Linked DNA regions of Mytilus edulis. The protein of the gene in region 2 binds, or shares a complex with, the protein of the main gene of each other region. Links are inferred from orthologs where the notes say so. Each region holds a gene or a part of one and is shown on either strand. Other genes may lie near its edges. The genes, in order: huntingtin-interacting protein K-like and N-alpha-acetyltransferase 50-like.

Region 1 (17,449 bases), on a different chromosome or scaffold from region 2:
CTGATTCCACCCATATGTTATCACTGTCTTCTTTTAAGCTCACCTGGCCCGAAGGGCCAAGTGAGCTTTTCTCATCACTTGGCGTCCGGCGTCCGGCGTCGTCGTCGTCCGTCGTTAACTTTTACAAAAATCTTCTCCTCTGAAACTACTGGGCTAATTTCAACCAAACTTGGTTACAATCATCATTGGGGTATCTAGTTTAAAAATTGTGTCCGGTGACCCGGCCAACCAACCAAGATGGCCACCATGGCTAAAAATAGAACATAGGGGTAAAATGCAGTTTTTGGTTTATAACTCACAAAACCAAAGCATCTAGAGCAAATCTGACATGGGGTAAAACTGTTTATCAGGTCAAGATCTATCTACCCTGAAATTTTCAGATGAATCTGACAACCCGTTGTTGGGTTGCTGCCCCTGAATTGGTAATTTTAAGGAAATTTTGCTGTTTTTGGTTATTATCTTGTATATTATTATAGATAGAGATAAACTGTAAACAGCCATTATGTTCAGCAAAGTAAGATTTACAAATAAGTCAACATGAACGAAATGGTCAGTTGACCCCCTAAGGAGTTATTGTCCTTTATAGTCAATTTTCAACAATTTTTATAAAATTTGTAAATTTTTACTAACATTTTCCACTGAAACTACTGGGCCAAGTTCATTATAGATAGAGATAATTGTAAGCAGCAAGGATGTTCAGTAAAGTAAGATGTACAAACACATCACCATCACCAAAATACAATTTTGTCATGAATCCATCTGCTTCCTTTGTTTAATAGTCACATAGACCAAGGTGAGCGACACAGGCTCTTTAGAGCCTCTAGTTTTTCTTGTTAAATTTTAGCCTCCAATAATGACATGTATGACTGATTTACTATACTGCATTATAATTAAATGTCCAGATGAATTGAAAACTCACCAGTGTGGTGAGTCACCACACTGTTCTCTCTCTCTCTCTCTCTCTCCCTCTCTGGTCACTGGTGTTCAGACTGCCTTTTTCTCCATCTTATATTTGTATATTTAAAGAAAAATGCTTCCTTCTCTCTCTCTCTCTCTCTCTCTCTCCCTATCTGGTCACTGGTGTTCAGCCTGCCTTTTTCTCCATCTTATATTTGTATATTTAAAGAAAAATGCTTCCTTCTCTCTCTCTCTCTCCCTCTCTGGTCACTGGTGTTCAGCCTGCCTTTTTCTCCATCTTATATTTGTATATTTAAAGAAAAATGCTTCCTTCTCTCTCTCTCTCTCTCTCTCTCTCTCTCTCTCTCTCTCTCTCTCCCTCTCTGGTCACTGGTGTTCAGCCTGCCTTTTTCTCCATCTTATATTTGTATATTTAAAGAAAAATGCTTCCTTCTCTCTCTCTCTCTCTCTCTCTCTCTGCCTCTCTGGTCACTGGTGTTCAGCCTGCCTTTTTCTCCATCTTATATTTGTATATTTAAAGAAAAATGCTTCCTTCTCTCTCTCTCTCTCTCTCTCCCTCTCTGGTCACTGGTGTTCAGCCTGCCTTTTTCTCCATCTTATATTTGTATATTTAAAGAAAAATGCTTCCTTCTCTCTCTCTCCCTCTCCCTATCTGGTCACTGGTGTTCAGACTGCCTTTTTCTCCATCTTATATTTGTATATTTAAAGAAAAAAGTGCTTCCTTCTCTCTCTCACTCTCTTATTTTCAAAAAAAAATGTATCGATAGAAAGATGTATATCATGTATATGGACTAGATAATATCAATAGGTTTATATATTTCATAATGGCAGATTTTACAGTATTGTGTTCTGTCTCCTACTTTCATGTTGCTAACGTGACAGAGACAAAAATGAGTAACGTTAGCGACATTTGGACATGTCACATGAGCAACAACATCTTTAAAAGTTAAAATGTATGCACACAGTGATGTTTAATATATGCCTGGAGTAATAAAATTGTACAGTCTGGTTTAGAATTTCTAAATATACAGAATGTCATTTGCAGGTGTACTTTATATCAAATGAATACACAAGAAACCAAAAAATGAGTAACGTTAGCGACATTTGGACATGTCACATGAGCAACAACATCTTTAAAAGTTAAAATGTATGCACACAGTGATGTTTAATATACGCCTGGAGTAATAAAATTGTACAGTCTGGTTTAGAATTTCTAAATATACAGAACGTCATTGGCAGGTGTACTTTATATCAAATGAATACACAAGAAACCAATTCGTAATAGTAACATTAGCAACATCTACTATCATGACATTACATTTTGTTGCGAACGTCTTTTTGGTGGACGGAATACATTTAAGGTCCTCTTGTAACGATATTACATACAACTTACCTTCTTTGCTTCCCCATCATGTGAAGGAACTGACTCCAAATCTATTTCTGCAAAGGGCGATATCGTAACTCCTATACAGGAGAGTTACAGATCTAAATATATGTTGCTCACGTGACACTGATTTGGACGGAAACGTCGAGCAGTAACGTTCGCAAAAAATAAAACAGCCAATGATATTGATTCCTCAAGTCCTTTGAACCCCTTACGTCATCCAAATTTAATATGATTGCTATTTTCAATTATTTATAAAACCCGGGATAAAAATAACTACAATGGGCTGTCTGAGAACCATTAAGAAAATTGCGATCGTGACATACCACAATGGACGGAAAAGACGTGACGTTAGCAACAATATTATTAAATTACCTTTTTTAGCCTTTACCAATAAAAATCTGCCTTAAAGTTATGATTAAAACACAAAAGAAGACTTTTTATTAAAATAGAAGTCCATGTTATTAGGCTCCACTTATAAATAATACTTCAAAATTCCACTCCAAATAAGCTGGATGTCAGTAAAGTAGGTCATGATGTCTATTCCATGTCCAATATTTTGAAATTGAAAATCCTCTAATTCTAACAAAAAACACAAACACAGAGTAATTTTTATTTTTATTTACTCAGAAAGACACATTTTATTCAATACCATAATGCATTACTCCATTACACAGTCTGTTTCACAGTTTCAGCAATTGCTTTTTTGATGGATACAAAAAAACAATATTTCCTTCTTATTGTAAAATCTGCCTAATGCTATCAAATGTGTGTATATTTTTTTTAAATTGGAAGTACATGTAATAAAAAAAATATTTTTTTAAAATTACACCCATCATCATGATCATATCGAAAGTCATATATAATTTTTTTTTATAATTTTAGTTCATTTTTATGTTTTGCAGTTTAGTATGACATCCATTTTTATTGTCACTAGTACACATTTTTGTTTAGGGACCAGCTGATGCCTGCCTCCCAATGTAGGATTTTCTTGCTGTGTTGAAGACCCATTGGCGACCTTGGGCTATTTTCAGATCTTTGGTCAGGTTGTTGTCTCTTTGACACATTCCCCATTTTCATTCTAAATTATATATACATATACATGTATTTATCTTACCTCTTGTCCATTACTACAAATATAATTGGTTAAAAGCGTCTGTGTATATTCCATATTAGGTAGTAGGGAGGCGGGGCTTATTTCAATACACGATTAGAAGTGGAGTTACAATTTTTGCACTATTTAATCATACACGTTATATAAATGTATTGAAAGTTCTGTTTAATATTGTTATATCACGGTTGTTGATATTAAATTTTTATTGTTGACTTTAGTTTTTTTGTGCAGATCAATTGAAGAAGGTTCTTAAAATTGAACATTTAACACTTTAATATAAAAATAAAAAAATGTGGCAGGTATGATTGCAAATGAGACAACTCTAGTCTAAATTCAACAAATAAAGATAGTCTGTAAGATAAATTTGTTACATAGTGTGCTAGTGACAAAATACAATAAATACGGCATCAGTAAATTCAATACGAAGCTCGAACCCCATATGGAATTTACTGACCATGTATATATAGTATTAGGTCACTAACACACTTTGTAACTAATAATATCGTTTTAGTGGTTAATATATGTAATATATGTCTATTGACATATGTGTGTTTATCTGTATGGCACGTTTATATGTATTTACAATTTTTATTTATTTAAAGAGTTTACTCCCTTAAGTGTTCTGTGTCCTTTCAGAACTTAAGTTTTACTTACAATTAGATCCACATCCTCTTTACTTATTTTTATCTTTGACAATTCTTTCTCTCTTGCAATGAATTCTGCTCTTTCTTTGGTCTTTTTCTCTGTTAATTTGTTCATAGCCTGAAATAAAAAATAAATAAATATGAGCTTATTAATATAATCTTATTTCATTAGGGTTGCAATTTCAGCACAATATCTTCAACCTTAACAAAAGTTTTTTTTATTCAACAACTACATGAACTAGTCAAGTATTCATTATTCAGTCGTTAGGGGACTAAAATTAAAATCCTTCCACCCACCCAATATAGTTCAATAATCTGTATGAAAATCTACCAATTATTTTGAGTTGGTCTTAGTTTATGAAAATATAGTTTTATTTTATGAGGAGGGTAGGAGGGGTCCTGATCCCGAAATCCCGGGCTTAAAAACCCAAAATACCAAGGTCCTAAATTTAAATAAATTTGAATCCCAACATTCCGAAATTCGAAAAAAAAAATTCCCGAATCACGAAAGGGTCAATCCTGAAATTCAGAGCTTAAAAACACCCGATCCTGTAGTCCCGATAAAGGTCCTATCCCCCTTCTTTTATTATGATAAAAATTTCAAATGGGCCCCTGAAAATAAAAAAAATTAAGGGTCCAGCTGGCCCCTAGAGGAAATCAGTTAAGTTTAGTCCATGATTCATATATTGTAATCTTGCGAAATCCAGACCCATAAACACATGGCAAAATCATAAGCATGATAAACCACTCATTTATTCCTCAGTTATCACTAATTATTTATATACCTCCATATAGAAAGGTATCAGGTCCGTTCGCGCCCAATATAGTTTCGCACCCTACACGTTCGCAACTCACATTTTCGCCCCCGAAACATAATCCGACTTAAAGCAAGGACTTTTTTTTTATAAACTTGTCATGACACAAAAAAACTTGTCAGAATCTCGAATTATTTAAAAACATGGCATATATATTTATACCAATACACCTCCAAAAAATCGGTAAAATTAGGTGCAAACATGTGGGGTGCGAACGAACTTTTCCGCAAAATTTAGGTGCGAACATGTGGGGTGCGAAAGTGAATGGGTGTGAATGTGGAAGGGTGCGAACGTGATTGGGCGCGAACAGACCCGGATTCATATAGAAAGAATCCCCCCCTTTTGTGGACTTGTAGTTGCACATATTTATATGATTCAATGTTCAGCCAGTTTTTTATTAACGGATGAAGCCAGGTGCCCAGTGAAAACCACGGACTTGGAAAGTGAAACTGACTACCCATGTAAATTAACATTTGAGTCAAGTGCACCAGCATGAGCTTGGTTTCGAATCCGGGTCCGTCCGCCCTGATTTTTGTTCGCCCTAGTAACTGTTCGCCCTAGTTCCGTTTCGCCCTGAGACCGTTCGCCCTGATACCTGTTCGCCCTGGGTATGTTCGCCCTGATTTATATTTTTTATTATAGTGTTGTGTTGTGTGTATTTAATTGAATATGTTCAAGTCAGTCTACAAATTTCAGGATAAACAAGGAGAAAAACATATGCTACATGTAAAGTGTAGCAAGGCACTTGTTTTAGTGGTGTATTCCTTCGAAGGTCTTGAAATTACATATTGAATGATTATTAACTTTTTTTTTCATTCACGATGAACATGACAACCGGCGAATAACTAACATTTACTGTATTCTGAAGTCTTCATTGTAAATGAACAGTATTTGGTTGATTTTTTTTATATATAAACTGACATTATGTATTAACTAACAGACATATTTCTCTGGAATTAGTGATTCCTTTAAATATTTTAAATTCCCTGCTTGTGAAAACGTACTATGAATTTAAAATAGCGAGAATAAAACTTGTGAACCACATGTCTTATAAATTATTTTCTGTGCACTATAATGTATAAATGTAAATGCATATTTTGTTTTGTTTAGTACCAAAGTCAATGGACATAGTCGTAGGGGAACATGTCAACACTTATAAATGAGGGTTTGAATGCTTAGAATGTGATTATCAAATATTTAGTTTTTAATCATTGTCGCCCATAATTTGATTTTCCTTTATTTTATAATTTAGCACCATTTTAAATCCATATTCTTTCAAATTTAAATTAATTTCAGAGCCGATAAAACCTCACCCAGGCCCTCATATATACAATGTACTAGAAATTATTCTGACACAAAATTAACTAATTGACCTAATTCAATAGTAAAGTGATTTAATCAGGAGACTCGTGAGTTGCATCCTCATCTATTCTACTCACTGTTTTCGCTTGCAATGGGGTAGGACAAAATAAATCTGTTGTCGATTTCCTTTTACTCTGACAAACTTTAATTACAGAAAACTACCGTAAAGGGTATTTCCAAGTAGAGGAGGGAAAATTAATTCAAATGTTCCCATAAGTCTTTAATAATTCGTAAAGGGTATGAATCAATAACCGCGCCAACAAGACATATCAAGTTGCTACATTATTGTTTAGTAGCCAGTTTGCTGCAATGATCATTTAAAAGAAAATACAGTGAAGGAAAAAAAAAATTTTCTTTTTTTTTTACTGAGGCAGTTGCCTCGGTTGCCTCAACGTAAGCTATGCCCCTGTTATTAATAGATAAACATAAATTTTTATATATATAAATATACATTTCTTTTATTAATGTAACATTTACATATCATTAATGAGAATAGGGCGAACGAACTCAGGGCGAACGGATTACCAGGGCGAACATGTAATCAGGGCGAACGATCCCGATACCCTTGGTTTCGAACTCACAACCTCAGTGTTGACTGGATAGTCGCCGAGTCGGGGGTGTTCACTGCATATGAATCTTATATGAATTAGGGGGGGGGGGGGGGGGGGGGGGGGGGGGTAATTCAACTCAACGTTGTCACAATACTTTTTTCAGTTTTGAAATTCGGTTCTGCCATTTGTTTAAAGAATGCACCCACTTACATCACCAATGCTTTGTGCAGAGATTTCCGTTTCCTCGACAAAATCAGTGACTTTTTCTAAATCTGCCGCCCCTGAATCGTGTTTCTTTGATTTGTCCTTCTTACTGTCATCTTCTTGATCAGGCTCCTCTACTTGTTCTTCTTCAGTTGTCATGTTTTTAACTGGAAATCAATCCTCTCAGTGCAAAAATAATTTGTGATTTTCTTTTGGTATTTTCACGTGTGTTGTTTTGTAAGAACGATAACTCTGCAGAAAATATCTGAATACCGAATTAAAATACTGTCTAAAAACGGACAGAATTAGAAATTTATTTTATTTATTTTCCTTGATATTTTCGAATGTTTTTGTATCAAGCTTAACTTATTTCTGTTTTCTGTGAACGATATAATCACTTCTGAGGTGTAGATACGACCTTTATCGGGACTCTTGGATCGTACACCACTTCCGGAAAATAAAAAGGTAAACATTAACAAATCGCATACTAACTTGCTTTAGTTCTGCTTTACTTTTCATGTACTAATATTGCTCATTTGTCAAGTTCATTGTCCTCGTGGGTAGCAACACGAGTCCAGTATAACAAATCATTATTTACTAACGCTTATATTCAAATTTATGTCTCACCTTCTATGTTCGAGCACATCATATTAATAAACAGTTATAAACATTTTACCAATAAAAATGTCGTTATTTAGTACAGTACTCACACTGATAACAATTTATTGTGTGTGTCATGAAGTAGATCATAAGTTTGTGTCATTAGAAAATGGCAAAACTACAGGTAGTTCACCATTTATCAAATCTTACCCAAAAGACATTGAAGATCATAATGCTTTGTTATTTGTTCCAAAAATCAACATTACAGAGAACAAATTTGTATCCATGTATTTCTGGCTATACCACTCAAGAAAAATACACTGCTGCAATAAAGCATTACATTCAACTTTGAAAAACCACCACTTGTTGCTAAAAATTCTGTTAAGTGGCCAAATTGAACTCAACCCAGGCCCTAGAATGCCACGCTGGCCATGCGGTTCATGTGGAAAAAATGTCACTTGGAAATGTAAAGCTCTAGAGTGCGACTCTTGTAAGACTTGGTACCATGTAGACTGCCAAGGAGGTATGCAAACAACAATGTATAACATAATGGACAACAGTAACCTGTCCTGGAACTGTATTAAATGTGGACTCCCAAACTTTAGTAGTTCATTTTTCAACCAAACTGATATATCATCATCAGTCACAAACAATTCTTTTTCATTGTTAAGCGATATTGGTAGTCCTGGACAGCCACATGCTTGTTCATCACCAATATCACAAAAGGACATCAGAAAACAAAACAAAAAAGGTATAAATACCCAAAATAAGTTACTCAGACCTTTAAAAATAGTAAATATTAACTTCCAGTCTATTAAGAACAAAAAACCAGAAGTAGATATTTTGATTGATACCACACAGCCTGATATTATAATTGGTACTGAAACCTGGTTAGACTCAAAAACATCATCTTATGAATATTTTCCAAAAGATCATTACACAGTATTTAGAAAAGATAGACCACCAAATAAAAAAGGACAATGTCATGGAGGTGTACTCATAGCTATATCAAATAATTATTTATGTACAGAAATCAAAGAACTAGACACAGGATGTGAAATGATATGGGTAGAATTATCGATATCAAATGCACGTAAATGTTATATATGTGCTTATTATCGACCCCAGCCAGATGATGATACATCTTTAGATTTACTAAATGAATCCATAAGTAGAATAAATGTAAACTCAAAGTCAGCCATAATTATTGGTGGGGACTTTAATTTAGGAAACATCAATTGGGAAACAACAAGTGTCATCCCTGGAAAACCAAACCAAAAACAACATCAACAATTTTTAGATATGATAAATGACCATTCATTAGCACAAGTTGTAAACATACCAACTCGAAATGATAAAATTTTAGATCTTGTGTTAACAAATTATCCAGCCATCATTGAAAAAACTGAAACCATACCACCACTAGGTGAGGCAGACCATGATATTGTATATTTAGAATGTTTACTATCACTAAAAAGATGCCAAACCAAGCCACGAAAAGTATATAAATATAAAAATGCTAACTGGCAAAAAATAAAAGAGGATATAGACGGCATATATCAAAAGATCATACATAAAAAAGATAGTGAAGATACAAACACACTTTGGTTAATATTCAAAAACTCATTACAAAACACTATCACTGAGAACATACCACAGAAAATGATGAGAAATAGTAAAAATTTACCTTGGATAACAGACAGTATTAGACGGCAAATGAAAAAGTACAAGAAAAAGTATCAAAAGTACAAATTAAAAGGCAAAGGGAAACTAGACCAACTTAAAAAATTAAAACATGATATACAAAAACAACAAAGAACATCTTATTGGAATTATATTGAAAATATGATATGTGGGATACCAGTTGATGAAAACCCTACTACTATATCAAAGAGTTTCCCAAAAAATCTGTTCAGTTACATAAAAACACAAAAGTCTGAAAGCTCTAACATACCACCACTCCGAAAAGAGGGCTCACTAACATCTGACTCAAAAGCAAAAGCTAATATTTTAAATGAACAGTTCAAAAAAGCATTTACACCTGTAACAGATGACCCAATACCAGACAAGGGCGTCAGTAAACATCCGCAGATGCCTGATATTAAGATACAAAAACAAGGCATTGAAAAACTCCTAAATAATATCAACATCAACAAAGCTGCTGGGCCTGATCTCATCCATGGTAAAATTTTAAAAGAGTGTAAATCATCTATCTCTCCCATCTTATCAATCATATTTCAAACATCACTGAACTCTGGAAAGATCCCAGATGACTGGCGTCACGCAAGTGTATGTCCAGCATTCAAAAAAGGTGACAAACACGATCCTATAAACTATCGTCCAATATCATTGACTTGCATCTGCTGCAAACTATTAGAACATGTTGTAGCTAGTAGCATTATGAAACATCTGGAAAAAAATAAAATACTATATGACTTACAACATGGTTTTCGATCCTCCCGCTCCTGTGAAACTCAGCTAATATCATTTATTCAAGATCTTGCAAATTCAAATAATAAAAACATCCAAATAGACATCATAATAATGGATTTTGCAAAAGCATTTGATAAAGTTTCACACCACCACCTCATGTATAAAATTGGTTTCTATGGTATAAATTGTAATGCATATTATTGGATTCAAGATTTCTTAACAAACAGAACACAAACAGTAGTCCTTGAAGGTGAAACACCAAATAAAATTCCTGTAACATCTGGGGTACCCCAAGGCACAGTGCTTGGTCCAATTTTATTTTTAATCTTCATCAATGATTTGGCAGAATATATTGAACACAGTACATTAAGATTGTTTGCAGATGACAGCATTATTTATAGGGAAATTAAAAAACCAGATGACACACTTAAATTACAGTCTGACTTAGAAGCGGCCGGCAGGTGGGAGCAGGACTGGCTCATGCATTTCCACCCTGACAAGTGCAACATTCTCAGTGTAACTCAGAAACGCAAACCTTTAGACTTTACCTATAAATTACACAATCACTCTTTAGAAAAAGTTGACTCTACAAAATATTTAGGCCTAACTCTTCAATCAAACTTAAAATGGGACAAACATATAGATAACATGACATCAAAAGCAAACCAGTCCCTTGGATTTATTCGTAGAAACCTAAAAATAGCATCACCGAAAGTTAAAGCTCATGCATATAAAGCTCTTGTCCGACCAAAATTAGAGTACTGCTCAACAATTTGGGACCCACATCAAAAACAACAAAATTTACAAATTGAAAAAGTTCAGAGAAGAGCAGCACGCTTCTCATGCAACCGCTTCCATAACACCAGCTCAGTTACTGAAATGATGACAGACCTAAATTGGTACCCACTCGAAATTAGGCGTTTACGATACAGACTTGTTTTCTTTTACAAAATTATTCATGAAATTGTTGCAGTTCCTACACATAATCTTTTGATCCCACTTGACAATAGAACCAGACATAGCAATCCACACTCATTTAGGCAAATACAAACATCTAAAGACAGTTATAAATATTCATTTTATCCACGAACAGTTATAAATTGGAATCATCTGCCACAACAAATAGTATCATGCAGTACGGTAGAGGGATTCAAGAGTATGATCTCAGAATCTGCTCTAATCCCCATATTCTATCCCTAACTATTCTGTTATCAAATGTATATAGTTTTATCACAACTTATTTTTTCAAATGTACATACGTTATGTTGATTTTTTGATTTTGTTATTTTTGATTTTTTGTTGCTAAATTAGTGTAAATTATAAATCTTATAGTCGACGCCCGGCGAATAATCTTCAATAATTGAAGGATCGCTAGAAACCAAAAGAAGAAGAAGGGTGTTTAAGCTCGGGATTGACCCTTTCGTGATTCGGAAATATTTTTTTTTACTGACGGGATTTTAAATTTATTCAAATTCGAGACCTTGGGATTTCGTATTTGTAAGCCCGGAGTCATTAAGATCAATTAAGGCCGTGACAATCTAGTTCATTTAATAGGTAAGTCAAATATTTGAATAATGAAAAATTCAATCATTTTATAAATCTTTGTGCAGTCTTTTAGATTTCTTCGGATAAATCCCAATGTTTTATTTCCTTTGCCTACAATACTGACTGGCAATGTGTCTATCCCAAGATAGGTTGTTGCTGATTGTTACGCCTAGCTATTTGCTTGCATCAACATTGTCTAGTGTATGTCCGTGGATTTTATATGATGTATCTCTCACTTCTTTGTTCTTCTGAGCTATTCTTATAACTATGCATTTTTTGGCGTTAAAACTCATAAATTTGCCATTTATTATCCCATTCTTCCAATGATGTTAAGTCTTTTTGTAAAAGGTCGCTGTCTGCCTGGTTGTTTACTGTTCTAAAGAGTAGGCTATCGTCTGCAAATAGTTTTGTTTCAGATGATGTTGATGTTTCTGGCATGTTATTTATGTAGGTCAGAAACAATCATGACACTATGATAGCGGTCCAATAACTGCGCCTTGGGGGACGCCTGAAAGTACCGGAACTTGAGAAGAGACAGCTCCTTCTAATATTACACTCTGCATTCTGTTTTCAAGGAATGATTAAATCCATTTTCTAGCTTTAGGGTTTACTCCATAAAATTCTAGCTTATGTAAAAGGCGGTGGTGTGGTACTTTGTCGAATGCCTTTGCAAAGTCAAGAAGGATGATGTCGACTTGGGATCCTTCTTCCAGTTTTTTAGCAATGTCATTGATTGTTATTATAAGTTGCGATTCGCAATATCGTTTTTTGCGGAATCCATGCAATGCGTTGGTAAGTATCTTGTATTTGTCAAAATGGTCCATAATACTGCTGTGGACTATGTGTTCCAAGACCTTAGATGTGATGGAGGTTAATGATACTGGTCTATAGTTGGAAGCTAAATGTCTTTCATCTTTCTTGAATAGAGGTACCACGTTAGCGTCTCTCCAATCTTGTTGGACTTCTCCGGTGCTAAGGGATGTTTGGTACAGATCTGTAAAGAAAAGGAGCGAGTTGGTCTGCTGCTGTTTTCAGGATGAATGATGGAATTGAGTCTGGACTAGTAGCTTTGTGTGGTTTAAGGTTTTTGAGTAGTTTGTGTACTCCCTTAGTGCTGATTTTGATGTCATCCATGGTGGAATATGGGCCTTTTCCTTTGTTGGGAAAGTTATTTAGTTTTTCCTTTGTGAATACTGACTGGAATTGATCATTGAGTATCTCAGCTTTGCTTTTATTGTCACTTTGCAGAAATCCCAATTTATTCTTCAGTGGTGCTACACCTGTCCATTCTTGACCTTTGCTCTTTATATATGACCAGAATTTCTTCGAGTTGTCTTTATAATTGGGGCTTTATACTTCTTCCATATAATTTTTGTTGGCATGTCTGACTTCCCATTGTGTTGCCTGTTTGGGTCTCTTATATCTATCCATGTCTCTTTTCTTTTTCGTTTTCCTGTCCTTCTTATGGGCTTTATTTTTTATTTATCTTCCTTCTGATGTTGGTGTTTATCCATGGATGTGTGTGTTTTCATTGGCTCATTTTTGTTGGAACTCTCTTATCTATTGTGTTTTGGATTGCTTTTTTGAATGCTTGCCACATGGTTTCAACATTTCTGTCTACAGCATCTATCAAATGACCAAAGCAGATTAATAAACAAACAAAAAACAATGTGTTTAAATATATACCATTGAAAGTTCCTTTTTTATAAAGGACATGATGTAACTTCATTTTGTCTGTTATTGTCATGACTTTTGTAACAATTTTGTTCGATATAACAGCTGTCAATCGACCATGGACGGAAAAAAAAATCCCAATTAACCTCGAGTGGTGAATTATTTATATCCACTCTTTCTGAATTAAAATCATATATGAAACTTTCACAGGATTTATTATCAGATATATATATGATGTCAAATAAAAAGGGACCACTTCTTCATTTTGAACATATCTGGTTAATACCTGCTCCATAGTGCTAAATATGCGTATCATGCACGACTAACTACGGTAAGCTAATTGTAAAAAAAGTACTGCTATCTATAGAATCGACAAAGAAAGTTAATTCAACGATAGCACGTTATGTGGATCTTTTCTCTACCAGCATACACAAGAGTGCACACGCTGAAATGTCTCGCCTTCTATACTAATCATTGATATTATGTTGATAGTCCTAAGTATAAAGCTTTATTACAACTGTCCAGTGGCGGATCCAGAAATTTTCATAAGTGGGGGCCCACTGACTGACCTAAGAGGGGGCCCGCTCCAGTCACGTTTCAATGATTCCCTATATAAGCAACCAAATTTTTTCCCAAAAAGGGGGGGCCCGGGCCCCCTGGCCCCCCCTAAATCCGCCTCTGCTGTCACATAAACTTAACATTAACCAAGATAACTAAACAAAGACCAATGAACCTTGAAAATGAGGTCAAGGTCAGATGAACCATGCCAGGCAGACATGTACAGCTAACAATGCTTCTATACAACATAATTATATAGTTGAACTATTACCGTTATAGTTTAAGAAAATAAACCAAAACATAAAAACTTAACACTGTCAATGAATCGTGAAAATGAGGTCAAGGTCAAATAAAACCTGCGCGGCTGACATAAAGATCATAAAATATTTCCATACACGAAATATAATTGACCTATGGCATATAGTATTAGATAAAAAGACCAAAACTCAAAAACTTAACTTCGACCACTGAACCATGAAAATGAGGTCAAGGTCACATGACATCTGCCCGCTAGACATGTACACCTTACAATAATTCCATACAACAAATAATATATAGTAGACCTTTTGCAAATAGTATGAGAAAAACAGACCAAAACACAAACATTTAACTATAACCACTGAACCATGAAATTGAGGTCAAGGTCAGATGACACCTGCCAGTTGGACATGTACACCTTACAGTCCTTCCATACACCGAATATACTAGCCCTATTGCTAATAGTATCTGAGATATGGACTTGACCACCAAAACTTAACCTTGTTCACTGATTCATGAAATGAGGTCGAGGTCAAGTGAAAACTGTCTGACAGACATGAGGACCTTGCAAGGTATGCACATATCAAATGTCCTTGACCTCATTTTCATGGTTCAGTGGCCACTTGAAAAAAAAAGATCAGATTTTTTGGGATGTTGAATTCTCTCTTATTATAAGTAATAGGATAACTATATTTGATATGACAACAAATGGAAGTTTTTTTTCAAGGTCGTTAAAAACTTCCATTTGTTGTCATATCAAATATAGTTATCCTATTACTTATAATAAGAGAGAATTCCACATCACAAAAAATCTGATCGTTTTTTCAAGTGGCCACTGAACCATGAAAATGAGGTCAAGGACATTGGACATGTGACTGACGGAAACTCGTAACATGAGTCATCTATATACAAAGTATGAAGCATCCAGGTCTTCCACCTTCTAAAATATAAAGCTTTTAAGAAGTTGGCTAACGCCGCCGCCGCCAGATCACTATCCCTATGTCGAGCTTTCCGCAACAAAAGTTGTAGGCTCCACAAAAACGGTCATAAACATAAACTGTAGACCTGTATCAAATTCTGAAAGAGACAATTTGATGGAAAGCAACATTGTTGATTAAATTAAAATACACTGGGCCATAAAATAGTGAACAGAACCTTGAAATGGCCAACACAGTGAGGTCAGGAACATATATACCGACATATACTGTTCCCATGCAGGTGAGATGTACAGACAAGTAAGGTAACTTTATAGAAAATATCGTTGTCAATTGTTAAAGAAAAGTACAAACAAAACTTACTAAAGCTGAAAATTCAACATTGAAGATTAATTATGATTACTTGAAAATCACATGACTTACGGGGACAGGGAGTCGAAATAGTCGTCAAACTGATATGTACTGATATATTTATACAAATTTATTGAAAATATCATTGATCATTAGTCACAAGTAGTTGCTATAAAATTAACTGTTTGTTTAAACTAACTTAAGCAGAAAACTTAACAATTATTTACGCAAACGACGACCACGTCGACTAGCAATGTCTATGTCTTTATGTCGCAGGTTAGACAAAACCATGTTCAACCATGAGTAATGTGAATTTAGACATATATATATATAGAAGTTAAGTATACAGTGCATCAACACACTCAGCTTAGATTTTTTTTAAATGACAATGAAATCATTCATTTTTTTTCAACAGCATAAGGAGTTTACGCATACCCCCTTCCCCCCAAAAAAAAACCGCCACCCGCCCCAAACGGCATCTTAAATCAAAGCGCTGTAAGCGCTGAAGGCAGTTAACCAAAAACCAAGGCAACTGTAATTATGAAAACTGTGGCAATGTTGCCTCAACACTAAACATTCATATATAGTACATTCATGTTTATCTAATGATTTATTTATTAAGGCAAATAATTTATATGTTATCAAGGTTTCAAAAGCAATGCATATATCAATGTATATATTTTTATGGTGAGTCTGCAGTGGTACAAGTTCCCAATGATTGCAGTTGTTCTACTTGGTAGTTAACCTTGGTTTTATTTGACTGCTAGAAGTTCAAGTTGACTTAGTATGAACATGTAATAGTATGAATGGACTGGTTTCCCTGGAAAGAAAACTGAGCTTGTGTTCTATAGTACAAAAGTTATGAGACACGAATTAGATAAATGTTCACTACAACAGGGATCAAAGGTGAGGTCTGACTGACCTGCCCATAGTAAATGTAAATGATTTGTTATTTTGTCCCATACATATGAATATATATAATTCAGGGGTGGGGATCTCAACGGTTTTCAAGTTCTCAAACAGGTAGGGGTAGGCAGAGGATTTAGGGGGGCAGGCCCCCCCCCTTTTGGGAAAAAAATTGGTTGCTTATATAGGAAATCATTGAAGCGTGACTGGAGCGGGCTCCCACTTATGAAAATTTCTGGATCCGCCACTGGGGGTAGGGTGACCCTAGGGTCTTCCCCTACATTTCATTTTATTTGTTGGTATATTATCCCATACATGAATATATATGATTTAGGGGTGGGGATCTCATTGGTTTCCAAGTTCTCAAACAGGAGGGGTAGGGTGACCCCCAGGGACTCCATCTATATTTCATTTAATTAGTTATATTGGCCCATACATGAATATATATTGTTTTGGTGTGGGGATATCAACCGTTTCCAAGTTCTCAAACAGGAGGGTTGGGGTGACCACAGGGACTTCCCCTATATTTTATTTGACTTGTTATATTGTCCCATACATGAGTATATATGGTTTAAGGGGTAAGGATCTTGACCATTTCCAAGTTCTCAAACAGAAGGGTATACAGTGACCTCAGGGACTCCCCCTATCTTTCATTTGAATTATTATATTGTCCCGAACATGAATATATGGTTAAAGGGTGGCGATCTCAACGGGTTTCAAATTCTCAAACAGGAGGGGGTGGGGTGACCCAAGGCACTCCCCCTATATTTCATCTGATTTGTTATATTGTCCCATACATGAATATATATGGTTTAGGGGTGGAGATCTGGACCATTTTTAAATTCTAAAACAGGAAGGGTGGGGTGACCCCCAGCGACTCTTCCTATATTTCATTTGATTTTTCATATTGTCACAAAAATGAATATATATGGTTAAGGGGTGTGGATCTCGACCGTTTCCAAGTTCTCAAACAGGAGGGGGTGGGGTAACTCCAGGGACTCCCCCTATATTTCATTTTATTTATTATATTGTCCTATACTTGAATATATGCAAGAGCAGATTCAGGGGGAGGGGTGTTGCAGGCTTGCACCCCCTTAAATTTGCAAAGCATGGGTTGTTCTCAGCTTAATAAAGAATATTCCGATAATTTTACCTCAAATTTTTTTAGCCTCGCTCTGCTCGGCGAAAATTTAAGTT
Region 2 (17,379 bases):
TAGCCCACATATATAGTTCTATACAAGAAAAGCAAAAATTGCAGGGGTCATTGGCAAGTGGGCCCCTGCTAATTTCAAACCCTGCATAATCTGTAAGTAAAGGCAAGGTTCTGTATTTTTTTTCGAACAATAAAGCTGTGCTAATTTCAAATGGTCAAATTCATACCAGATGTCCCAACACAAACCTCTATTAATAGTTATGCTGTATGAATTGCATGAAATTTTATACCTATTTTTGTGAAAGAGGTTTTTAGAATAATAAAAATATAACACAGCAATTAATCTTATGACTTCAAATCAGAAGAGAATAATCTTGTACTTACCAAAAAGAGGGGGACACTTGCACAAATATGTAATGAATAATGGCATTAGAATTCTTATTAACAAAATTCAAAATCTAAATTATCAATAGCCTTTGCTGAAAATTTTATCAATTTTGACAAAGATCAAAGAAATTGTAGAAGTTACAATTTTAAACGAACAATTTCTTCTGCTTTAATCATGTGAATTTTTTCTATCACTCTTTTTGAGTGTGTCTTATTTGTTATGGAAACAATATTGTAATTAAAAACTTACAGAAATACATTATCAAAATTTGCATCTTCCTCACAGATCTTCAACACATGCTTTAACATAACTGTACCTGAAAAATATCATCATATATGTTTGAATTATTTGTCCTATTATCATCATAATCTTGATTGTTTAGTTTTTTTAACAAATATATCCATTTCAACCATTAACATTTGATAAAAGGTCGAAAATATAAATTTACACCGTACACTGTGTGAAAATAAGGTAGATATGGATAATACTGTGGATTCATTTATTTTTGTGGGTTCCAATTTTTCGTGGTTTGCGGAAAACTTGTATATTCATGGATATTTATTTTCATGGATTTTGCAAAGTCTGCACACATTCTATTAGAAAATTTGTTATTTGTTGAACATTTGAATTCATTGCTGCCCTGTACCATGTGTACCCACGAAATCAACGAAGATTTGTATCTAACGAATATTAATAAATTAACAGTAGTTAAGTCTTACGGTTCTTATTGTTCTTAACTATATATACATGTATAGTCTAATATGTCAATTATCTTAAAACTGTACCACTCTGCCCTTGGGACATTAGCTGTCAAATTCATGTCTATCTATTTGTCTCAAATTTGCATATTTGCTTTATAACATACTTTTAAAATGTACAGCCAAATTATAAAAAGTCTAAAATAAACAATTGATGATGCATGTACTCAGTAATATGGATCAGCATTGGTGTGTATTTTAGTCTAAACATCATCTAATTAACCATTGAGGTGACCCCTGAAAATGGCAAATGGTTATATAACATGATATAAATGAAGGTCACATGAATACAGGTTGAATTCTCAAATTCTTTATTTAATCACTGACACATTTAGTGAATTATAAGTCCACTTATTGACTTTCATAAATGATTGAACCAATCTTATTTTTTTATTTTGTTGTTGTTGTAGCAAATGCCCCTTTAAATCTAAGCTATAAGACTGTTTATAAATAGTCTACCTATATGTAATCTTCTGTATGGAGCCAGACATCCTAGTGTCATTATGTATAATCGTCTCTGGTTATCAGATGTATCAATACGACAACAAACAGCACCAACCACAATGTCATTAAAATAGGCTGGAAAATAAACATTTGTTAAAAATAAAAAAAAAGTTTCATTAAATGATTAATCTGACATTTAAAATAAATGTGTAAATTAAGTGTAAATATGTCCTAGAAAATGAAATAAAAGAAAGAGCCCAATTTTACTGAAAATCAAAACAAAGGCTATTAGCATTAATTAAGAGAGTGAGTACCTGGTAAAAATGTGTTATTTTTTTTTACTTTTTATTTTAATTGCAACCAGTTATGTCACATGTAATGATGTATTGTTTGCTTTTTGAACGTGTAGATCTTATAATCTAGCCAATCTTCTGTTGTTGTTCTCTCTCTCTTACTCTATCTTTGATGAAGAGGGGGGGGGGGGGGGCAATACCTTGTTATGTTAACCTGTTTTGGCCTTTTTCAAGGTGTTGTTAACTGTTATTTGAGATAAAATTTTACTGTTAACTGTTTTCAACCCAGTGTTTGTTATCTGTTTTGTTACAATTTGCACTGTTGTTAACTGTTCTTTTGAAAATAGAATCCCTGTTATCTGTTACTTGACACTTAAAGTGTTCCCTGATTTTGACATAATTTTTCTCTGTGAACTGATCTTAACTGTCATTTACAAGAATTTTAAATATTCACACGTTAATATCACATTAAATTTTCTGTCCATTTATGGTGCTTCCTTAAAGGAGTAACACAAACAACATACATTTTGTATATGTAGCTGTCTTTGGAGATCTTTAACTATAGCACATCCTTGATAAAATTGAGAATGGAAATGGGGAATGTGTTAGAGAAACAACAACCCGACCAAAGAGTAGAAAACAGCACAAGGCAAAATAAAATGAGTCTCCAACACAGTGAGAAATCCTGCACCAGTAGGCGGGTTGAAGGTGACTCCAAAGTGACCAAGTTAAATGGTCTTTTCTGAACAAAAAAGTGTACTAGTTCCTATAAAATGAATGTCACAATAAACTCTGAAACATATAAATGAACCAAAATTAATATTAAAAAAAATTACAAGACTATGACAGAAGTTTATTTCTGTCTCCGATTAATAATCAATCCACACGTTAATCTGTTAATAGGAATGACCACTTCTGACCAAGCTAAAATCCTGGTCAGTCCCAAAATAAAAACAATTAAGATGATATAGAATGTTTGATAAGTTACAATAACCAGGAGAACCTGAATATAGTTTTCAAAAACTGAATGAAGTTGTGAAAAATGTGGCCTGCTAGTCTTAGGCTTCTGAAGTGTAAGTATTGGCCAAAGGCTTTTTCTATATCAGCTCAGAGTTCTTGGGACTTGGAGATGGAAAAGGCGTTTAATACATTGGTTTATTGATTTTCAATTTTTCAATTCCTTTTCATAAAAGCATGTAAGCTATGAGTCGTATGATTACACGGAGATGCAACAATATATTATTAGGGCCCCCTCCATAAAAAATAATGGTCGCGCTCTATAGTTAGTCTAAACATATTTATTTATAGTGAATTGGGAAACAGGTTTTGCAACTTATATAAATTCCTTTCCACTTTGCAGGTGTGAGTACTGCCATGTAGCAGCATTAGCCTGCTCTTGTCTTTAACGTGCAAGAGATATGGCTCTCTCTTAAACACGGGTCAGTCATTTATCGTCCCCTTCCGACAGACTATCATTGTTTCCTCAAGACCATGCTCGCAAATAGTGTCAAGGGACAGCCGAACATTCAGTCCCTGAAATTTTCATCCCGGAACGGAAATCAAACCAGGAACCTTTATGTTAGTAGTTCAATGCACTAACCACTACACCATGCCATATAGTTCCTATAGTTAATGATAATTTTATTTGCAAATACACCCATATGGGTCAAGTAAACACAAATATAAACATATACATAACACAGAAAGTGAAGAACTACAAATGTAAACATAAAAACATAGTTATAATGGAATTGTAACCTTTGATGGATATGGACCTCATTTTTTTTAAATTCTAAAGATTGCTTTATACATTTAAAGTCACCAACTTCTGTCAATAGCTCAGATTCAGGATTTAAAAGATGTTTAAGCTTTAAAATTGGTTGTAATCACTCTGTCCATCTGTCTGTCTCACTTTCCTACATCACATGATTACCCAAGTTTGCTGTTTTCTGAAACTTGATCAGCTTTATCAAAGATTCCTTAAGAGCTTGGGATTTCTGCGACTTTCTACAGTGGTTCTGAACACATTGAATGTGTACATTTCCCCCTTTTCATAGCTTTAGCTTTGATTTTAGAAAAAAGGGTTGATTGAAGTTGGTGTTAACTGTTATCAGCATTTAAAATTTGTTAACATTTTAACGGACCCCCTATTGTCCCCCCCCCCCCTTTTGATAGTTTTCAAGAAAGCATCTAAACTTGCATTTGTAATTTACAGGGAGTCAATTGATGATTTTGAACTTTCTGTAACCTCTAGAATATCTTTATAGACCTTAAAAAGTATGGGCTTTGCTCATTGTTTAAGACATTGCAGTGACCTACAGTCATGGCAGTGGTTTATTTCTGTGTCATTGATCCCCATTGTTTAAAAAAAATTAATCAACGTGCAGTTTGTTTGATCTCAGTACTTCATCATGTTCATTAGTTTAAATCTGATTATGACATTGAATTTTCTTGCTTTCCTCTGAATTTACTATTGTGACAGCATGAAAAGAGGCGACCATGCCTGATTATGTCACACTAAAAGAACACAACTTTTTGCAGATTATTTGAAAAGAAGGAATTAGTTTGCCTGCATATTGTTAGAAAATCATTAGAGAAACAGATTCCACCACCAATTCTCTTTGTAATACGATATTTATCCACTCTCGACAGTTAAATTTTAAATATTTAAACATGTTAAAACACTTGACAAGCCTTACATTTAAAATTTGAAAATTTAACTGTCTTGAGTGGATGAATATTGTATCACACTCGATGCAGTGGTAGAATCTATATATACATGTATCATTGTTATTCTACTGTTATAAACATACCAAGTTTTGCTAGCTCTCCAACTTCTAATACATCTTTATAGAACTTATCATTGTAAGTCACAGGGAACACCACTTGATTCAACAACTTTAGCTGCTTGATGTTATGAGGAGTTATGTCCCCTAGTTCTGTATGACCTCTGAAAAGAATAGACATAATCAACTTATATAACCTCAGCTGCATCATACATGTATCATAAAAAGTCACATACATGTACCAGTGCTCTAGCTAGAAATCAAAAGGGGCAGGGTGCCAGTGGAGGGCAGGGCACTTTTTATGATAAGAAAAGGCACTGCTCATTTTTTTGTCTACATTTCTGTGTGTATCACGAGTTAACGAATCTCTTTTTTTTTTTTACTGTATATGTTGTTTTTTTTAAATAAAGATGCTTTTCAACTATAGTCTTTATTTCATTGTTTGTGTAGTTATGAATGATATATTACATCCATGACATCTTCATCAACATATTATGTTTTTACAGTTTAACTTCACTCTACCCATTATCAAAGAATATGTGGGTTTTTTTTTCTTTATAGGAATTATAGCTTTTAATGCATCATATGATCTGTAACAACAAATGGAAGTTTTTAACGACCTTGACTGGCTATACAGCCCTTGCACGGTCTGTATGATCTGTAACTGAGAGCATTACTAATTTAACAATGTTTAGAACATGGATTGCTAAAAGTATAATTATCAAGTAGAAATTGCAATATATATTTTTTAATATGTTCAAAGACAGTTAATATCTTTAAGGTAACATTATTATGTTATTATATATTCAATTGGTAATTTATTCCTATTTTTGATACTAGATAATATTTTAAGAGCACAAATTTGTAATAAGCTAAAACAGGGGAAGTAACTCCAAAATCAATTTCCACCACGTTTGGGTTAACTAAAAACTGTGCTTGTCGCTAACAAGTTGAGATGGAAGGCATTTCTGTAAAGGCATAGTTTTATTTTGCTGACTTAAATTCAATTCTAAAGTCAGGAAAGTCTTCACTTATATATGCTCTTCCATTGTGACTTGGAGATCGAAAATGCCGACCCAAGCTAAACACACTCGCTGACACATTCATCAAAAGTATGACAAAAAGATACATTGTCCTAATTAAATTACCTAGTTATTAACACCTTTGAAGTCTTTATCATTGTAATTGAGTGTAATGACATGATTAACCTGGGGGCAATCACACAGGTGTCATATATGTAATTAACTTGGAGATCAGAAATCGATGAAACAAAATTTTACCAAAACGGCACAAGATAATTTTGGAAAAAGACGTCAGGGCAGAAGGGCACGGATGAAGGCACCCAGGGCACGGCGCCCTTCTATTTTGGGCTAGCGAGACCACTGATGTACTATCTTTCTTAGATGACCAGGGAAATGGTGCTGAATTCAATTTAACAGGTTTTTCCAATTTGTCTAGTTGTCCCCAACCTGTTTAATGATTTTGTAAATTGTATTATCACATATTTGTTACAAATACATTGTATGTTGGGTTTTGCATATATACAGTGATATTGTTGTCTTTTTTCAAACCTACCTTTTTTTTGGGGGGGGGGGGGGGGGGGAGAAGTGCATCGTTTTTTGGGGAAATTGGGAAATTTTTAGACATATTTAACCGGAAAGAACATTTGGGGGAGGGGAAAGAAACAAATACAATGACAGTATTTAATACATTGAAACCATGCATGTTACAAACATCCCGATGATTCAAATCAGAATCCCTGATCTCAAAAACGTTTTCATTATATCAAAATAATAACATGAATACGAAATTTACATATCATTACTACCGATGCCATCACTGTTTGGGAAAAATGTACAACTTATTGGGAGGAATTTTAAGCCATTTTATTTTGTAATTGGGAATTTCTCTAGGGGAAAAAGCGAATATCGGGGGTAATTTGAGGCTAACAATATCACTGATATAATAACCTCAAAATTGCTGAGGGCAAAAAAAGAGTATATTGGTTATTGTGCCCTGATTCCAAATGACATAACGTCATTGCATCCTTAACGACTTTTTAATTGCTTCTGTGATAAAAAAAAAAAAAAAAAGAAGATTTACCTGTTGTTTCATTAAATTGTTATAATTAATATTTTTTTCTCTTTTCTGCAAAACTTAAATATGTGATTTATATTATAACATGTCTTTTCCATATTGGCCCTGGTCAGTGTTCTTCCCAAGATTTTTGGATAGCGCTGTGGTAAGTGCGTAATTTTCGACAATTCTCAGTAACTTTGTCACGGCGCGCTGTTTGTTTGTAATTGATTTGTTATTTGTTTTTCTTATATTATGCCATTGATTTTTTTTCTCTTGTAATGATGTCCTCATCATGCTCATTGAAGTTACCCCTTTGTTTGTTAATATAGAAGAAGAGTTTTTTTTCTCCATTGTAAATTCATATAATCCTCATATTATCTGTGCATAAATCCCAAGGAGAAGTCTTTTTCCATGATGGGTCTATACCAGACTGCCTATGTGAAGATTTCTAAGCACTAACAGGTGATGTTGCAGAACATGTCGGACCAACAATACAGTCATTGTCAGCCTCTTGTGTTTGGTTTTGAAACCCACTGTAGCAGTGACTCCAGTTTTCTGACAAGTACTGTCAACCTTACGACGTTTGACCTGTTGACAGGAATTGACATTTTTTAACATCATGATTTCTCATTTTTCTGACCTAAACGTTTTATTCAAATGGCTTCATCCAAGCTGGATCTCGAGAAAGTATCAGCTTAGGGTTTGTTTTTCTGATCGTTTTCAAATGGTAAAATTCATTAATGTAGAATCGTGAATGAACAATTATTAGTTCGAATAGGTGATAATTAATACTTCAAAAGACTTGTTCATTTTTGGGGTTCGTATGGATAGTAAGCCTGGCAAATTGTAACAAACCCCTGTGTTTGATCGTTTTTAAAATCATCGTTTGTTCAAAGTTTGTAAAACAAGTTTATGAGTGTCGTGGGGAAATGCGGTCAATTTATATCATCTCATTTCATGCATATATCATGCATAAATGCCTCTGTATATTCTTTAAATAAAAACAATAGATGTCATTGATGAAATCTTGGTTTATTTTGATCTGTCAAATACGCCATTTTGTAAATTTATTTGACTATTCCCGCTGAGTTACTTAATACAGCGGATATAATTCACTCAGAAATAGTAAACCAGTCGACACGTGATCCGAAGTGAAAAATAAGCGGGAATTTTGAAAAAATTACAAAAAAATATATAGTGTTGCGCTTGCTTTGGATAGCGCTGCGGTCTTTGCAATAGAACAGCAGGAATTGTGATAGCGCTGAAAATCGCGGTGCTAAAACGACCAGGGGAGAACACTGCCCTGGTATCATCCCTCGACCCATATCGGCCCTCGGCTAAAGCCTGGAGACTGATATGGGGTAATACCAGGGCCAATATGGAAAAGGGCATGTTATAATCTATACTTATTCCAACATTTGACAGATTTACTGTGAAAAATACGGGAAAACATCATTAAAACAGAGCTGTTGCTTGGAAACATGCATAGCATTTCCCATACTTTCATACTATTTCCACCTCTTTCTAAAAAATCTGCCCCCTAATGGCCTATCCAATATGGCTGAACTAACTGTGAAGAGCCCTATTAGAAATTATTAAGCGATAGTGTATTTTACACACGTCTTCATTCATTTATGAGGGTGGTAAAGGTTATTTTCGTGCAAGGTGTTTTGCCATTTCACATGCAGCCATGAATAAGGTACGTTATTCACCGTGTTTTCGTGAAATTGGTAATAAGATCAATGTACAAGCCATTTTTTTAATTATTCGTTCATCGTGAAATAGCAATTTTATATCGCATTCTTCCTTGCAGATACCCCCCTCCACTATTACCGGACAATTAAGTCCGATACAAATTATTTGGTTGTGTCAAATCCGGTCAAAATATATGTTCCTGGTAAGTTGTACTACAGTCTACAGGCACCTGTTTCTATCCACGGGAAGGTGGATTTATATAAATATATAGATAGTCGATCTTTCCATTGATGGAAACAAGTGCCTATGAGTAGAATAATAAAATAAAACAGGCCTGGGCTAGATAAAAAGGGGGTTACGAATGATATTGATCCAACAATCGATTTCAGTGCACACTTGGTGTACAATTGGCAGCAATAATAAATACACTACTCAAAGTAAAGATCACAAATATGCACCTTGTCATTGTAAACACTTGATTAACATCAACTAACTGCTCACATGTGTTCCCGCTCCAAAACCGGAAATAAACAAAAATTGTTTTGAATCGGTCCCTTAATTGGGTAAAATTAAATGCTGTTTTGATTGGAATAAACACAAGTACAATAAAAACAAGTACGTTATAAGCCAGAAAACTTTCCGGTTTGTTAAAAGAGCGTCAGTATTCCATGACTTTTCATTTGTAAAAACGTTATCCACGATGTTCCTACAACACGACGTTACACTAAAAATGAGGCGTCAAAGACTTTTTTTTTACTTCGATTAATTTTTGCAAGTTTTATTCCAATTTCGGGTTTTTATATGTTGTTGGTTGATTCTGGTTCTGTTGTTTTTGTGATTTACCTCAAGTTGTGGAAATCGATTTAATAATAATTACAGTACCCTTTAAGTTATTTAACCTAAAAATTCAAAACTGTCACAAGTAATGTAGGAAGGAAAATTGGGACGACTTTAAATGATCTATTTCGGAGTACTTCCGCAACATAAATTGAAATTCGCATTTTACATTTAGAGGACTGTCTTTGTGTCTCCAATTTGTCTTTGCAAAAGTTGAACGATGTTCATGTAATGAGATTTTTTTTCTTCTCTATTCTACCATTCTTTTAAATAAACTTTATAAAAGCGATTAATAAAAATTGCCAAATGTAATCTATTTATGTAATCGAATTTATATGTCCCTGGCCAGAGTCTCTAGCAACATGCACTATTCTTATTTTTCGGCAGCCATAACCATCTTTTTCCAAATTTCACTACACGATTTGTTTTAATTATCATAAACATCAACTGATTGACACTTTAGCACATGTGACGTCGGAAATTAGCGTTTTCCGGATTTTTCGACGTTTTCACACGTTTGGACAAAATGGCTACCGTTTTGTAATGTGTGGAAGCATTTTATACCTTAAAGACCCAGATATGTAGTTGATAAAAAAAGAATCTTGGTATTGTGTACTCTTCGTGTATCTAACTTTTGTTTTGATCAAATGCAGTTTAACTTTTTGGCTTATATCTCAATAACTAAAGCTTTTAGAGCAAATCTGACATGGAATTACATTTTCATTTTCAAGTTAGATAAGTTTGAATGATAAAAATCAGTCGAACACTGAATCTTTTTCCAATAATTCATAGTTTGACGTCGCGAAAATAACAATTTGCGTTTGCAACGTCATCATTACCTCTCCCTGTAACTGGTATGCCCTTAACCCTCTTGCTGCCGACCGTTTTTCAAGGTTGCATTTCATATGCCGGAAAATACGACAGCTCAACGTCTGTGACGTAACATGCCAAACAACCACGTCATTCGATATATGACGTCACGACAAAATGACCACTACATTTGGGACCAATTGGAGAAAAACATGACCCTGTTTATTCTTCTGTATTTTAATTGCCGAAAGAGATACAGCATTGATAAGAAGCTTGCATAAATTTATCCATGGACATATGTGTCCCTCCGGCACTGCCGGTTTGGACATAGGTGTCCCTCCGGCAGCAAATTATTGAAATATGAGTTAAAATATACGCGTTAACTGCTTTGAAAAATGAAATATCAACTTAGACAAAATGGCTAGTTTTGTCAATTTTTATGAAAATGTAAATAGTGCCCCAAAGGGCCCCATGCGAGCTAATGCCATCACTTGGCGTCCGTCGTCTGTGGTCGTCGTCATAAACTATTTAAAAAATGTCCTCCTCTGAACCTACTGTGCCAAATACCTTCAAACTTTAACTAAATTTTCCTTATGGTATCTAGTTTATAAATTGTATCTGAAGTTTTGATCCATCGACAAACATGGCTAACATGGCTAAAATTAAAAACATAGGAGTCAAATGCAGTTTTTGGCTTATATCTCAATAACTAAAGCTTTTAGAGCAAATCTGACATGGAATTACATTTTCATTTTCAAGTTAGATAAGTTTGAATGATAAAAATCAGTCGAAAACTGAATCTTTTTCCAATAATTCATAGTTTGACGTCGCGAAAATAACAATTTGCGTTTGCAACGTCATCATTACCTCTCCCCTGTAACTGGTATGCCCTTAAAAGCCGCCGGGTTCACGGAAACAAATTGACCAAGCAACTTGGCACTTGATGGAAGTGATTAACGACCTTGACTGGCTATACAGCCCTCGCACGGTCGGCTCGGTGCCCAAGGCGTTAGATGAGCGTTTGAATAATTTCTGCAGTGGGTCAGAAACAGGCGGTAGAGGACGCCATTTTGGAAGACCACCATTTTGGTTTTGGTGAGTTCTTTTTGGTTTGTTTACTGCCTTCACAACGGCTGCTTTAAATCGGGGCCTGGTCAGCTTGGCAGCCTGCTAACCTCGATGATGGAGTACTGGTAGATGAGTCTTGGACTTGGTATTAAAGATGACAGGAAGCATTATCAGGACCAAAGCCGTGACTCGGGCAGTGAAATAATGGTCAATCATCTAACACCTAGGATACAGCCCTCGCACGTCAATCGGCATAACACTCCCCCATCTACAATGGGTTTTGGGGTGCATGTTAACGCGGAAATAAACGCCAACAACAACGTTTACTGTACAGCGTTGGATAGGTTTCTGTCATCTATAAAAGTAGTAAGTCGTTGATCATCCAGCACGTCCGTTCAGCTGTAATGACTGAGGCGTGACTGATTCTACTTGGGACGAATTGGTTGATACGAATCGGAGTTGGGACGAATCATCCAGAGACGTTTGTGAGACCAGAGACATATAACGTTGTTGTTGGCGTTTATTTCCGCGTTAACATGCATCATATTGTATTCATCTAAATGTTTGAATAATATGAAATTGTATACTGTACTGTATTTTAATTGTATACTAATTGCTCTGTAACTATATATAACACGTTAAAAATAAAAAAGGGAAAATAAATAATTCCCGTTTTGGTCAAGTTTTGATATTTCCAACTCAATGAGTGCTGAAACATTGTGTATTAGATTTTTTTTCATTTAGAAATGAGTACTAATTTCACGGTCCAACAGGAAATGTAAATACAAAAATTATCATCAATGCAAACAAAATCATCAAGTTATCATTTTATATGTACGAGAGTTGTGATACTCAAATACGATTACTTTAATTTACATCTCCTCTTTATAAGTGTCTTATCTAAAGAGTATTGACGCTCTTTGTCATTTCCGGTTCCTGTATGTCTTGACTTCAAGAGTACTGTCTAGTACTATACGTCACAAGTATAATACCACAGAGTATCGCCACTCTTAGGTTATAGCTCTTTTTGCTAAAGAGTATAAAAAAAATTTGCAAATATATTTTCAAGAGTAGCGATACTCAATTAAGCATTGTCTACCTCCATTCTTAGAATATTCCGGTAAAAAAGTTTTATGGTCCATGAGAAGTAGTATTTTAGAAGCATTTTTTTAACATCTACACTTTAAATAAGTTTATTTTTGACGGAGTATCGATACTCTTTGAAACTGTTTTCTACCTCAAGAGAATCAATATTCTTTTAAACAGGTTACATTGAGTGTGTTGAACATGTTGAGAGTATCGATACTCTTAAAAACGGGTTTCTACTTTGAGAGTATCGACAGTTTTCAACGTTGAGAGTACCAATAATTTTTTAAACAGTTTTCTTCCATGGATGTATCGATACTCTTAAAGCAGCTCCTTTTTTTTTACCTTGAGTGTTTTATACCTTTTTAAACAGTTTTCTACCTTAAGAGTATCGATACTCTTATTAATGGTTTTCTATCTTGAGAGTATCGATACTCATTTAAACAGGTTTCTACTTTGAGAGTATCGATACTCATTTAAAGAGGTTTCTATCTGAGAGTATCGATACTCATTTAAAAAGGTTTCTACCTTGAGAGACTCCTTGAAATTTTTTGTGACCTAGTTCATTCTTGAAGACCGTATGGTGGCCTATAATTGTTAATTTCTGTGTCAATTGGTCTTTTGTAGCGAGATTGGTCTCATTTACAATCATACTACATCATCTGAGCGTTAATGAAGTTGAGCTACTAATTGTTTTCTTCGATCCATAGATTAGAATGGAATACACTAACGAGTCTTAAAACTTAACCAGTTGAACTTTGAAGTACTGCTAAAAAAATGAAAAAAAGGGCAGCTTTATGTATTTGGTTAACAGGAAGTTGATAAGTGATGGATGTATATAAGGCTCACATAAAACACCATTAAAAATTTCGAAGACCTTGATGTGTGATTTCTGGGAAGAATGCAACAAAAAAATTCCTACAGAACCATTATTATTAAGAATTAACCAGTAGTAAGAAAAGTTGAGGAGCATTGAAATTTTTAAGTGCATGACAGTGTATAAATTGATGAAATGCGGCTTGATATCACATTTTTAAAATTAATTGAGAGAAGTTTCTGAAATAAATGAAACTCATGTTCTCCTCCATTCGGAACAGGGGAATACAAACATATAACAAAAGTTAATAAATATATACACATTTTGTTTATTAACATTTTATATGGATTTTGACAGCAAAAGTATCATCTTTTTCCAGTCTTCCTCTTTTTTATGTCCTTTTGCTTGAGAACTCTCTCTACTCCATCAAGTCCAAATTTAACAAAGTATCCTGTAAAAAATATATACCTTAGAGTTATGATATTATTATATAAGTTATTTAGATTCTTTTAATTGATAACGTTACTAAATCAAAGAAAATTTCATTCTATAATATACGATATTGGACTTTAACGGCTATGCAGGTGAAAAAAGTGTTTATATAATTTTCAACCTTAAACGAATACCGTTTGTATTCTAATTTCTAAATATTTTTTTTTACTTAGAATATCGATCAAAGGTAAATTGATACTGTTGGTGATGTATTGTTTGTTGTCTAGAGCTAAAAGTTGGTTGTATTGAAGACAACACCCACCTTTACTCCTTTTTTCTATGATATCAGCTTCATACCACTTCTGGTCCTGCTTCCAAAAGCATAAAATCTTTTCTCCGTTCTTGTACTCCGTGTTTTCCTAATAAAACAACACAAAATGAACATAGTTAATTGCCAGGCAACTGACTTCTATGTAAAAGGTATTACTTGGTTTTTTCTTTCATAAAATAAACCCCAAAATGTCTATAAAATATATGAACCAAGTATTTTTATAACATAAAACGTATTAATTATAAGAAAAAGTTTTGGGTATCCAATATTCTGCACAGTCAGCGTGAGATTATAAAAAAGCCTAACGGCATAATGAGAGAACTGATATTTATCAACCAAATATATAGTTTAATAGACTAAACAAGAAGTAATTCATTGTAATCTTTAAATTTTACAGAGTATACCCAGTAAACACACGACGTACTCCCGACGTCGGTTAATGGTCGTCTGAACGTCATGTCGTGAGTTTACGTCGTACCAACGTTGTGGGAACGTAAAAATCCAACGTTGGATGCAGACGTACAGACGACGTTATAAAATTACGTCGGCTTCACGTAAACTTAGTACCTTGTCAGGACGTAACATTTTATTACGTTGTGACAACGTGCTTATAACTGTCATAATCCGACGTAACATTTTGTTACGTTTTGTTACGTCGTATCGACATTATAAGAACGTAGTGAATACATTGTAAAAATCTGGTTTTATGGGACGAATTTTTGGGGTATGTCATAATGAGTATTCCTGGATGTATCGATCATTCACCTTAACTAGAAGATATTTACGATTTTTTCGATTTAAAAAAAAAAAACTCCCCCTTTTTTCCCCGCAGACATAATTTGCATCAAGATGTCAAAGAAAATATTACAAATCCAATTTTAATGTTCTAATATATGTATTTTATATGAATATTTATTGTTTAATATATCATTAAAATTTTGTCATCATTTATCACTTGGATTTCATAATCGTTTTTCACGATTTGATTAGTGTAACGTTCAGCAGTACTCGGGTTTTACCGCAGCATACTGTATGTATGTACTGGTAAATGCCTCCGATATCCGAAGAACCCCTCGAAAGCTGCGAGTGTACAGTGGCATCCATGTACACTCCCTAACGGGATTAATGGAGATGTGTCACTAACGTATATTTATACGACAATTATTTTTACAAGGACAACCAATCCCCACCCAATTCAACACAAAGGGAGTGCTAGGACACCGGGAAGTCTGTTATTGTGGTGGAGGAAGCCGAAGTACTCGGAGAGAACCACCGGGCCACTCGGTGGAAACAGACAAACCAGAGAGATATCAGAAGATTGATCTCCAGGTCAAAGTAGGGACACTTTGACCAACCGAGGCCCCCAACGTACCCATTCTAGTTTAAACTCCGGTCTGGGTACCAGAGATGTGTGTGAGAGGGTGAAAATTACCCTTCTAATGTACTGAGATTTTTTAGCACCCCGAGTGAGAATCGAAATCGAGAATTGAAAACAGTGAGGAATTTGCAGTGGAAATTTAGCTTAATCCAGATTCCAGAACAAAGAAAAAGGTAAAATAATGATTGCACATTACACCAAATAGGTTCTCCATGATAAAAACAAGTTTGATTGATGAAAATAACAGCTGTTACCGTGTTGGGCGCCTCTTTCAAGTCTGTTATACGTGACCGTGTTGAAATATGATACTTTTTCTTATACTGTCAATATATTGCACTGATACAAGATATTTTAGCCATAATGTGTGTTATTTGAATCTATTTATCAAATTGCTTGATTAACTTGTGTTGTTTCTGAAGATATATGCAATTAAAAATAAGTAATAACTGTAGAAAGTAAAAAAAAAGGGGGAGGGGTGCACAGCCACAAGTACTTGTTTTCTATCTGTGACAAGAGCTACTATCCCTATATATTAAGGCTACAAGTGTCTTTTGCTCTGTTATTTTTTGATAATCATTGAAGCATAAAAGTCTTATCCATGTTATCAATACACCTTATCGCTAATCCCGGCTGACCCGGCCGCTTGAACTTTTGACGTCAACAACAATCACTTTTCCATTGTGACGTCAGATATTTTGTTTTATGACGTCAAAATTTTACGGGAACCTGTGTGATTTCCAGCAATGTCGGACAAATAGCGATAAGGTGTATATCAGAAAATGTGAAGCTAAACATCTCAGCACTTTAGATATCTGGGTCCATTACAAACTCCGCACATTTCAAACTTGGCATATTACAAACTCGACCTATTAATGATAATGCTGCATATATCACTGGGGGTCGTTGCTAACATGCATGAAATATTTGCCACTGGATTTTGAGCAACAAACAATCAACCATTGTATCATTGGGTCTGACATGGAACAGTGGAAATAGACAATTGTGCCAATAAACTGATAAAGATGTTGTAAAATATAGGCGTCACAGAAAAAAAATTAAGATAGCCATCACAGTTGTCGTAATAGGATTAGGTCGTTGTAGGAAGACGTCCCAGAAAAAAATAAAAAAACAACCTTCCAAGTCTTGAAAGTGTCATAATGATTTAGACTAGGATCTAGCCTTGAAAGTTGGGTAAAATTTTCTTGTTTTCAGGGTAAAACCCAAGGTGTTAAAAACAGTACATAGGGACATCTTTTTTGCTGTACAATTTATAGTATGAAATCTGCATGTTTATCAATGACGAGCTACATGTACAATCACTAAATATGTGATCAGAAACAATGTAATCAATCATAAAACATATGAATTTTGGAATGCATTTAAATTTGTCACTTTGTTCTCCTAAAGATTTGTTGGACTAACATTTTTTTTTATATAAATAAGGCAGTGAATTTTCTCGTTTGAATTGTTTCACATTGTGATTTCGGGCCTTTCATAGCTGGCTATGCGGTATGGGCTTTGCTCATTGTTGAACGCCGTACGGTTACCTATAAATGTTAATTTCTGTGTCATTTTGGTCTCTTGTAAAGAGTTGTCTCATTGGCAATCATACCACATCTTCTTTTTTATATGAAACAGACAGAAGAATATAAAAGATAATTGAACGTATTTTTAATTTTTTTTTCAGAGTCTTGTACATGTATATAAATCCACAGATCCAATGTGTCTGAGGTTGAGGAAAACCATTGCAGTAACCATGTAACGGTTAAGCATGCACCAGCTCAAAAATTTGGACCAAGATTTTAAAAAGGTAAACATCAGTTGATCAGCTCTTTTTCTGTCCTCCTTAACTGAGTGATATAGTTTAACTTTTGTACTGTACGTACATACATGTACATTGAACTCAAAATTGGATTTTGTTATCTAACGTTTGCCTAAACCACATGTTATGCAACCAATACACAACGCTTATCATAAAACGCAGAGTTTGAATTTGGAGAGCATCTGCTTTACTGTTCTCTAGATATGTCCTTTAAATTAAGTTTGATAAGATCATTTGTGGCTCATGGACACATTCTTCTTATATTAATTTTATTTATCAAATTATAATTTGTTCATTTTATAGATTGCGTTCATTGGCATATGCTATGAGGTCTTGTTGTATCGATGTACATGCTAAATTTATTAAGGTAGAATCCTTTGCATATCTTAAATAAATTAATTGAAAAATGACAATAT

The links.
Region 1: N-alpha-acetyltransferase 50-like (region 2) and huntingtin-interacting protein K-like share a complex: the UniProt entries of both Homo sapiens proteins name them as parts of the N-terminal acetyltransferase E (NatE)/HYPK complex. The link is inferred for Mytilus edulis from reciprocal best matches to the Homo sapiens genes NAA50 and HYPK.

The regions. Positions count from the first base shown.
Region 1 is NC_092354.1:40,484,270-40,501,718, reverse strand, and holds the start of huntingtin-interacting protein K-like, read right to left. Parts: upstream 7,248-17,449; 5' UTR 7,152-7,247; coding exon 6,999-7,151; intron 4,179-6,998; coding exon 4,071-4,178; intron 1-4,070. UniProt on the Homo sapiens protein: Component of several N-terminal acetyltransferase complexes. Inhibits the N-terminal acetylation activity of the N-terminal acetyltransferase NAA10-NAA15 complex (also called the NatA complex).
Region 2 is NC_092348.1:77,358,635-77,376,013, reverse strand, and holds the start of N-alpha-acetyltransferase 50-like, read right to left. Parts: upstream 8,947-17,379; 5' UTR 8,849-8,946; coding exon 8,841-8,848; intron 4,773-8,840; coding exon 4,636-4,772; intron 1,665-4,635; coding exon 1,545-1,664; intron 644-1,544; coding exon 577-643; intron 1-576. UniProt on the Homo sapiens protein: N-alpha-acetyltransferase that acetylates the N-terminus of proteins that retain their initiating methionine. Has a broad substrate specificity: able to acetylate the initiator methionine of most peptides, except for those with a proline in second position.